2 linked regions of the Sus scrofa genome follow. The protein of the gene in region 1 interacts with the protein of each later gene in a pairwise test. Links are inferred from orthologs where the notes say so. Each region holds a gene or a part of one and is shown on either strand. Other genes may lie near its edges. The genes, in order: C2H11orf49 and RAB29.

Region 1 (3,816 bases):
CAATCTGATCTCCGGCCTGGGAACTCCATATGCCTCAGAGCAGCCAAAAAAGAAAAAAGAAAAGAAAACAGGTGAAAATCAAATAAGTATCCAAGATTAAGCTGTCTGAGCAGAGCCATGACTCCAGCCCAGTTCTAATACTCATTACACCCTTTATCCCTTTATTACAAGCCCATGATTGTCACACCTTTACCAGTCACAACAAATGTGGAAAACATGATTTCTGATAAATCAAGCCACACAGATTTCATGCTCTTTATTATTTACCAAAGTTATCACTTACAAACCTTTACTGAAATTTTCATGGTCCTTAAACTTTTTCAGTGGCTTTTTTTTTTTTTTTTTTTTTTTTTTTTTTTTGCCACATCCAAGGCATGCAGAATTTCCCAAGCCAGTGATCAAACCCACACCACAGCAGTGACCAGGGCTGCTGCAGTGACAACACCAGATCCTTAACCCTCTGTGCCACAAGAAAACTCCCAGTGACTTTTTTTTTTAATTAAAGAATTGAGTTTTCTTTGCAATCAAGTCATCCATGTTTCTGGTGTAGAATCACTTTTCCCCTGGGATAAATTTCTGAGACACGCAGAAGTGGAAGAGGATGGAAAGAGATAGGAGATAAGAATGCCCAGGTGCTTCTGCCAAATGATGCTGAAGCACCTCACCCTCATCACTGAAATGAAGAGTGAAGGGTTGATGTTAATACTAACAGCCAGTCAGATGGAGTAGGTCATGTTATATCGTCTCCCATTCTACCCTTTGAGAGTATGTCACTTATTTTGCCAGCAAGTTTTGTTTGCCTATTCCAGTCTACTTCCTATGGCAGAACCAGCATTTTGAGTGACTTTCATGGCCTCCTGCTGGGACTGGGATGATGATTTTTGTTTTGTTTCGTTTTTGGTCTACTTCTCACTCTCTCTTTCTCTCTTGCTTTTTCTTTATTTTTGTAGCCCAGCGACATGTCCTCACATACATGGAAGATGCGGTATGCCAGCTGCTAGAGAACAAGGAAGATATTAGCCAATATGGCATTGCCAGGTTCTTCACTGAATAGTAAGTACGTGAGTGCTTTGCCAGTAGGGCGGGCCCAGAAGAGGCTTTAGGAAGCAGCCAAGATATATGAAAAGTAGAGCAGGGCAATGCTGATTATGTAGTGGCAGTGACTGCTTAGCTTTGGTAGACTGGTTGAGGGCTGCCCAGACATGTTTTGGAACGTGCCTTTGGTGCAGCTAGTTTTGTCCAGTGGTAAGTCTCATGAGTGGACATAACTGCAGAAGCTCGACTGCTGGTTTGAGCTATTAAATCTGTTTCCTTAGGTTCCTCTTATAATTTTTAACTTTTCCCATTATTCGGATAGTCACTCTGATTTCCCTTCGTCATTGTTCCTTTAGTCTATGTTTTTCTTGGCTGATTTTTTTCATGGAAATGCTTCGGATGATATTCCTGTGCAGTTTTCTTTCTACAGGATATTGTGCCAGTCATGTAATGATTTAAGACTATTTCTAGAGGCAGGATACCTTCCATAGATTATATCTTTGAGAAGTTGTACAAATGTAAAATATGCTTGGAATGTGTAAAAGTCAAAGTGATTGTTATTTTCAATTTATTAAAAATGTTTTTTCTGTTTCGTTTTATTTTGTTTTTTGCTTTTTAGGGCCACACCTGCAGCATGTGGAAGCTCCCCTAGCTGCTACAGCTGCTGGCCTGTGCCACAGCCATAGCAATGCAGGATCCGAGCCACATCTGCGACCTATATCACAGCTCACAGCAATGCCAGATCCTGAACCCACTGAGCGAGACCAGGGATCAAACCTGCATCCTCATGGATACCAGTCGGGTTTGTATCTGTTGCACCACAAGGGAAGCTCCTTCACGTTTTATTGAGATGTAATTGACATACAACACTGTGCACATTTAAGCATAGTGATTTGATTTACATGCATCATGAAGTGATTGTCTTTTTTTAGAGCAAGTTTTTTTCCCTTTAATACTCAATTAAATAGATAGTTGTAGGTATAAGTTTTGTATGTACATAAATCTGGCTGAGGTGTTAGTTGGAGGCTGGCTTTCTGGTCCTCCTCATTTTTCTGAGACTCTTTCCCATTTTAAAGTTGACTTTGTCAGGGATAAAGTTTACTAATGACGATGTGTAGTAGGCCAGTGTGGTGCTCAAGAGCTTAATTCCTCTAGGTTTTAGCCCAGAGTTGCTTCAGCTCTCTCTTATGTGTCTTGGATCTCCCATCTAGGACACCACGGGTGCTCAGATCGTCAAATGGCCAGTTCTTATTCATGTCCCTGGTTGAGCTTAATTAACAAATGAGTTTTAATTAATGTTTCCCTGTGGGACCACTGCACATCATGAGGACTCCACCGCCCCCATTAGATCTCTCAGTCACCTGAGAAAACTGTAATCAGCCAGGAGGAGTCTGATCCCTTTTCTTCGGAGCAAACACTCTCATCTAATACCTTCACCTTTATCCCAGCAAATTTCATTACAGCAGATGAATTAAGGAAAAGCATCAGATCAGCCTCTTACCTAAACACTCAGTCCAGACCCCTAAGTCTCTTTCAACTAAGCAAGCTGAGGGTATTTTAGTCATTGGTTTATAGCCATAAGTTGACTAGTCACCTGCGATCTTCCCCAGGGAACTGCCTGATGGCGTTTCAGAGATGTTTCCCATATTGGCTTTATTTTTCCGTAGCTCACAAAACTGAGGTCTAGGTTAGAACCTCTGTCAAAATCTTTCCTAGGTTATCATCAGATGGATTAAATATTCGAGCACAAAACTGAAAGCAAAACTGAATCCTCACCAGCCAAAAGGAAGCCACAGAATTACCAATGGGATCTCCTGAAAGGAAAATCCTCAAATGGGAATCAAAGGTTCTCCAGACAGACAATGTCCAGGGAGCATGCTAAGCGGTTCCAAATTGGCTTCCAAGTCCCACTGAGCCCAGGACCTTAGTCCAAGGGACTCCTTACAAATAGGATCTCCCAAAAAGAAAATTCCCAAATGGGAACCGAAGGTTCCCCAGATGGACAAGATCCAGGGGGCCTCAGAGTGCATGCCAGGGGACTTACCCAGATGCTGGCAGAGGTGTCACAATATCCCAGATGCTACTTTTCTCCTTCCCAAAAAAGTTTCTTGAAGTGGAAAGTTTGGGTTGGCAGCAGAGGGAAAGGAAGGAGATCCCTGCAGGCTGGTGGAGCCTCAGCAGCTGCTAGGGTGGTCCTTGCCTTCCAACCACATTTCCAGCCTAGAGTTCCAACTCCCGAGATGGCCAGTCAGGTCTCTTCGGGGGCCCGGCTCTGTGGCAGGAAACTCTCAGTGATCTGGCCTCCAAAAGAGTCCTCTGTTCACCCAATGGGATACTGGTATGGAGAAAAACTTCAGAGCCTTTGATCAAGCTGAGAGCCCTGAGGGGCCGTCTGCCCATGGCAAATCCCAGACGAGCCCCCAAAATTTGTTGCTGAAGCCTCCGTCTGCTGGTGCCAAATACAAACTCAGAGACAGAATTTTGAGTGAAGGAGGAAAAGATAGCTTTATTGCTTTGCCAGGCAAAGGGGGCCACAGCAGGCCAGTGCTTAAGGACTGTGCCCCCATGAAGTGATTACAATAAGTTTAGTGAACATCTATCATCTCATATAGATACATAATTAAAGAAGTAGAAAAAAATTTTTTTTCTTGTGGAGTTCCCATTGTGGCTCTGCGCGTTAAGAACCCAACTAGTATCTATCAGAATTCAGGTTCAATTCCTGGCCTTGCTCAGTGGGTTAAGTATCAAGTGTTGCTGTGAACTGTGGTGTAGGTCACAGAC
Region 2 (3,816 bases), on another chromosome or scaffold:
ACACCACAGCTCACGGCAATGCCAGATCCTTAACCTACTGAGCAAGGCCAGGGATCGAACTCGCAATCTCATGGTTCCCAGTCGTATTCATTAACCACTGCGCCACGACCGGAACTCCATAGTGGCACTGTTTTATAATCACAGGTATCTGAGTAATGTTCCTGTCCTTGGAAAGTTTATGGTGTTGACTTTTATTTATTTTCTTTGCCAGTGTGATCTATCCCCTTGGGCGGTGAGCCGAGACCAGGTTGACCGGTTCAGTAAAGAGAACGGCTTCACAGGTTGGACAGAAACATCAGTCAAGGAGAACAAAAATATTAACGAGGCGATGAGGTGAGTAGCGCGTGTTGTTCTGGGGATGGCACGAAGATTCACCCATTTTGAACCTTCTTTTCTTGTTTCTAAACAAATGAGAATAGACCGAGCCACTGGAATGCCAGTTTCTGAAGGTCAGGGATGCTGCTGTCTTCTCTCCTGAGATAGCTAGGGAGAGAGGGGCATTGAAATCCTGTAACTGGCTCTGCTGAATGCCATCTGGTTTTAAGACAGACTGTCTATGGAGTTCCCATTGTGGCGCAGTGGTTAATGAATTTGACTAGGAGCCATGAGGTTGTGGGTTCGATCCCTGGCCTTGCTTTTGGGTTAAGGATCTGGCGTTGTCATGAGCTGTGGTGTAGGTTGCAGACGTGGCTTGATCCTGTGTTGCTGTGGCTCTGGCGTAGGCTGGCAGCTACAGCTCCAATTAGACCCCTAGCCTGGGAACCTCCATATGCCGCGGGAAGCAGCCCTAAAAAAGGCAAAAAGCCAAAAAAAAAAAAAAAAAAAAGACAATGTCTAGAGCTCCCTTGAGGCGCAGCAGGTTAAGGATCTGGTGTTGGCACTACAGCAACTCAGGTCACTCTCATGTACGGGTTCCATCCCTGGCCCAGGAACTTCCACATGCTGTAGGCATAGACAACGTCTGACATTTCTCCCTTTCTTCCATCCAGGTTCTCAGGCTTATTTTTTATTGTTTTTTTAGAGTCCTCATTGAAAAGATGATGAGCAATTCCAAAGAAGAAATGTCTTTGTCCACCCAAGGGAACTACATTAACCTGCACACCAAGCCCACCTCCAGCTGGACCTGCTGCTAATAGCATTTGGCTTGTGTTTGCTCACAGTCCTAGGAGGTCTTTCTCTGCCTTTTGGTTACCCACCCAGCAATTTTACTAAGTACATTTGAACTGTCTCTTGCCAACTATCTGGTAAGGAGGGCCATCGTCCCTAAGAAAAAACACCTTGGACCCTTGTGTGTTTCTGCTTCTGCAAGTTGCCTCTTGCTTGCAGCTGGCTTCCAGGGCTCAGTCGGTGCCCTCTGTAGAAGAAAAACTGTCTCATCCCTCAATTTGTGAGCTGGGATTTTGTAGGAAGGATTAGAAATCAGCATCTATATTTTAAGGATCATCATTCTCACGTGCTTTTGAGTGGATTTTTTTCCGTTCAATGTATATTGATATCTCCATCTGATAGGACTTCAGGTTGCAAGGAAAATGAGATCAAAGGTCATTTCCCCAATTCCTTGTAGGTCATTGGTTTCAGGTTCTTTTTGTCAGACTCTGAGCTGCAGAAGTGCGTTTGGGGCTACTGAAGGTAAACCAAAAGTCACTGTATTTTTTTAAGCTGAAGACACAATTAGCTTTCTCTTGTCATGGTTTTAAGACTAGTCAAGCTTAGAGTTCCTGCCATGGCACAGTGGGTTAATGATCCGGCTTCGTCTCTGGCAGCTTGGGTTCGATTCTTAGCCTGATGCAGTGGCTTAAGGATCCAACATTGCTGCAGCTGTGGCGAAGGTCACAGTGGCAGCTCGGATTTGATCCTCGCCAGGGAACTTCAATATGCCACAGGTGTGGCTGAAAAATAAACAAACAAAAAGTCAAGCTTTTAAACTATCTGTCTTACGTGGTGAGAGGGCCTCTTTCTCCAAAGAAATGAATTATCACATTAAGATTTTCTGCTGTGTCTCTCCCAGTGGAATGGGGGCAGGGTTTGCAGGTTTCTGGGTTGGTGTCTTGCCACATAACGCCACCAGGGCCATCCGTTGGCTGTGGTGCCCTGGTCTATACCTTTCAGCTCTGAGAGTCTGAATGGAAGAAGAGGGAGAGGTTAACAGATCAAAATCCTGTGGGGCAACTTCCATGAGCGCTATCGGTGGCTCGCACTTAACAGCCATAGGAAATAAATATCATGTATAGACGTTTGCCTGGGGGTGGAGAGTATACAGACAGAAAATCATTAGGTAATTTAAGTGCTAAATTGGATAGAGTTTTTAAGTATCAAATCACTTCTAGACGGTTTAATTTGTTAAATTCTCACAGGCTGGTGATTTATAACCTACTCAAAGTTATGAATATTCTTAGTGAACTCAGAGGCTTAGAGCTCTTTGTGAGACACTTATCAAAATAAGTGTTCTAAGTCAATGCTTCCGTCAAATCTGACGGATCAGAACCACCTGGGAAATGTGTTTAAAATTTTAAAAATAAAATGTTGTAAGATTTTTGATTCCCAGCCCAGCCTCCAATCTTTTTTTTTTTTTTTTTTTTTTTGGTCTTTTTATGGCCGCACCCGTGGCATATGGAGGTTCCCAGGCTCGGGGTCTAATCAGAGCTGTAGCCACCAGCCTACGCCAGAGCCACGGCAATGCCAGATCAGAGCCGCATCTGCAACGTACACCACAGCTCATGGGAATGCTGGATCCTTAACCCACTGAGCGAGGCCAGGGATCGAACCTGCAACCTCATGGTTCCTAGTCAGATTCGTTTCCACTGAGCCATGACGGGAACTCCCGCCTCCAGTCTATTGAATCAAAATGTCCAGGCGTGAAGCCTGGGAATTTGTTGTGGTTCTTTTGTTTTTCACGTCTTCCCAGGTGATTCTGATCAGCCCAACGTGGAAACCCTTGCTGGAGAACATGATAAAGATACAGAGACCCAGGCCTTCCCTTCAGAAGTGACTCTGGGCTTTTGTGGGCTCCGTTAGCTCTCCAGGTGATCCTGACACGCACCAGCCTTTGACAAGCACTGTCCTAAGAGAGAGCAGAGGCCAAATAGCAGAGCCTTCAGTGGTTTGCTTTTAATGCGAATTATTAAACATTTTGCACAATCCTTGGAGACCTCCAAGTTCTCTTTCGTATTAACCCTTTTCAGGTAGGGTTTTTATTACAGTGATTCTGAAAATAATAGTGGACTAACAAGTTCTCTGTGAGAAGAAAATTGATTTTTTTAATCACTGGTTTGAACCCCTGCAAAATCACAAATAAATGGAAAATAAGGATTACATTCATAGTAGTTATTGGCCTTGAATTGAATTTGTCAAAGTGTTATTTTATACCAATGGGGTGTTGTGGTAATGATACATTTTTCAAATACATTCTTTAAAAATTGAGGTAAATAATTTTTCTGGTTATCTGTTAATTTACTAGTATGAGTTGCCTCATTCCAGTTCAGTACTTGGTGTAGCTTCTCAAATACTGCTTGGAAATGTGACCATTTCAAAAATTGAATATGCTTCCTTTTCCCATTTGCTGACAGGATATTCCTGCCTTTTCAAGCATTGCTGCCAGCCCTTCTGGATTTTCTCTCCCAAGTGGTGAATATTAGGACCCTGAAACTAATTAAAGAAGTTGAAATATAACTAATTCCTCTCCCTGTCCCTATCTATAAAGAAAGGGGAAAGTGATTAAGATAAATAAGAAGAGGGGGTTCCTGTCATGGTGCAGCGGAAATGAATCTGACTAGTATCCATGAGGATGTGGGTTCGATCCCTGGCTTCGCCCAGTGG

What was found.
Region 2: the proteins of C2H11orf49 (region 1) and RAB29 interact in a two-hybrid assay, tested with the Homo sapiens proteins (2 studies listed by BioGRID and IntAct). The two-hybrid records come from large-scale screens. The link is inferred for Sus scrofa from reciprocal best matches to the Homo sapiens genes CSTPP1 and RAB29.

The regions. Positions count from the first base shown.
Region 1 is NC_010444.4:15,558,055-15,561,870, reverse strand, and holds part of C2H11orf49 (UPF0705 protein C11orf49 homolog), read left to right. Parts: intron 1-950; coding exon 951-1,053; intron 1,054-3,816. UniProt on the Homo sapiens protein: Regulator of the tubulin polyglutamylase complex (TPGC) that controls cytoskeletal organization, nuclear shape, and cilium disassembly by balancing microtubule and actin assembly.
Region 2 is NC_010451.4:66,448,458-66,452,273, reverse strand, and holds the end of RAB29 (ras-related protein Rab-7L1), read left to right. Parts: intron 1-211; coding exon 212-333; intron 334-1,021; coding exon 1,022-1,133; 3' UTR 1,134-3,420; downstream 3,421-3,816. UniProt on the Homo sapiens protein: The small GTPases Rab are key regulators in vesicle trafficking. Essential for maintaining the integrity of the endosome-trans-Golgi network structure.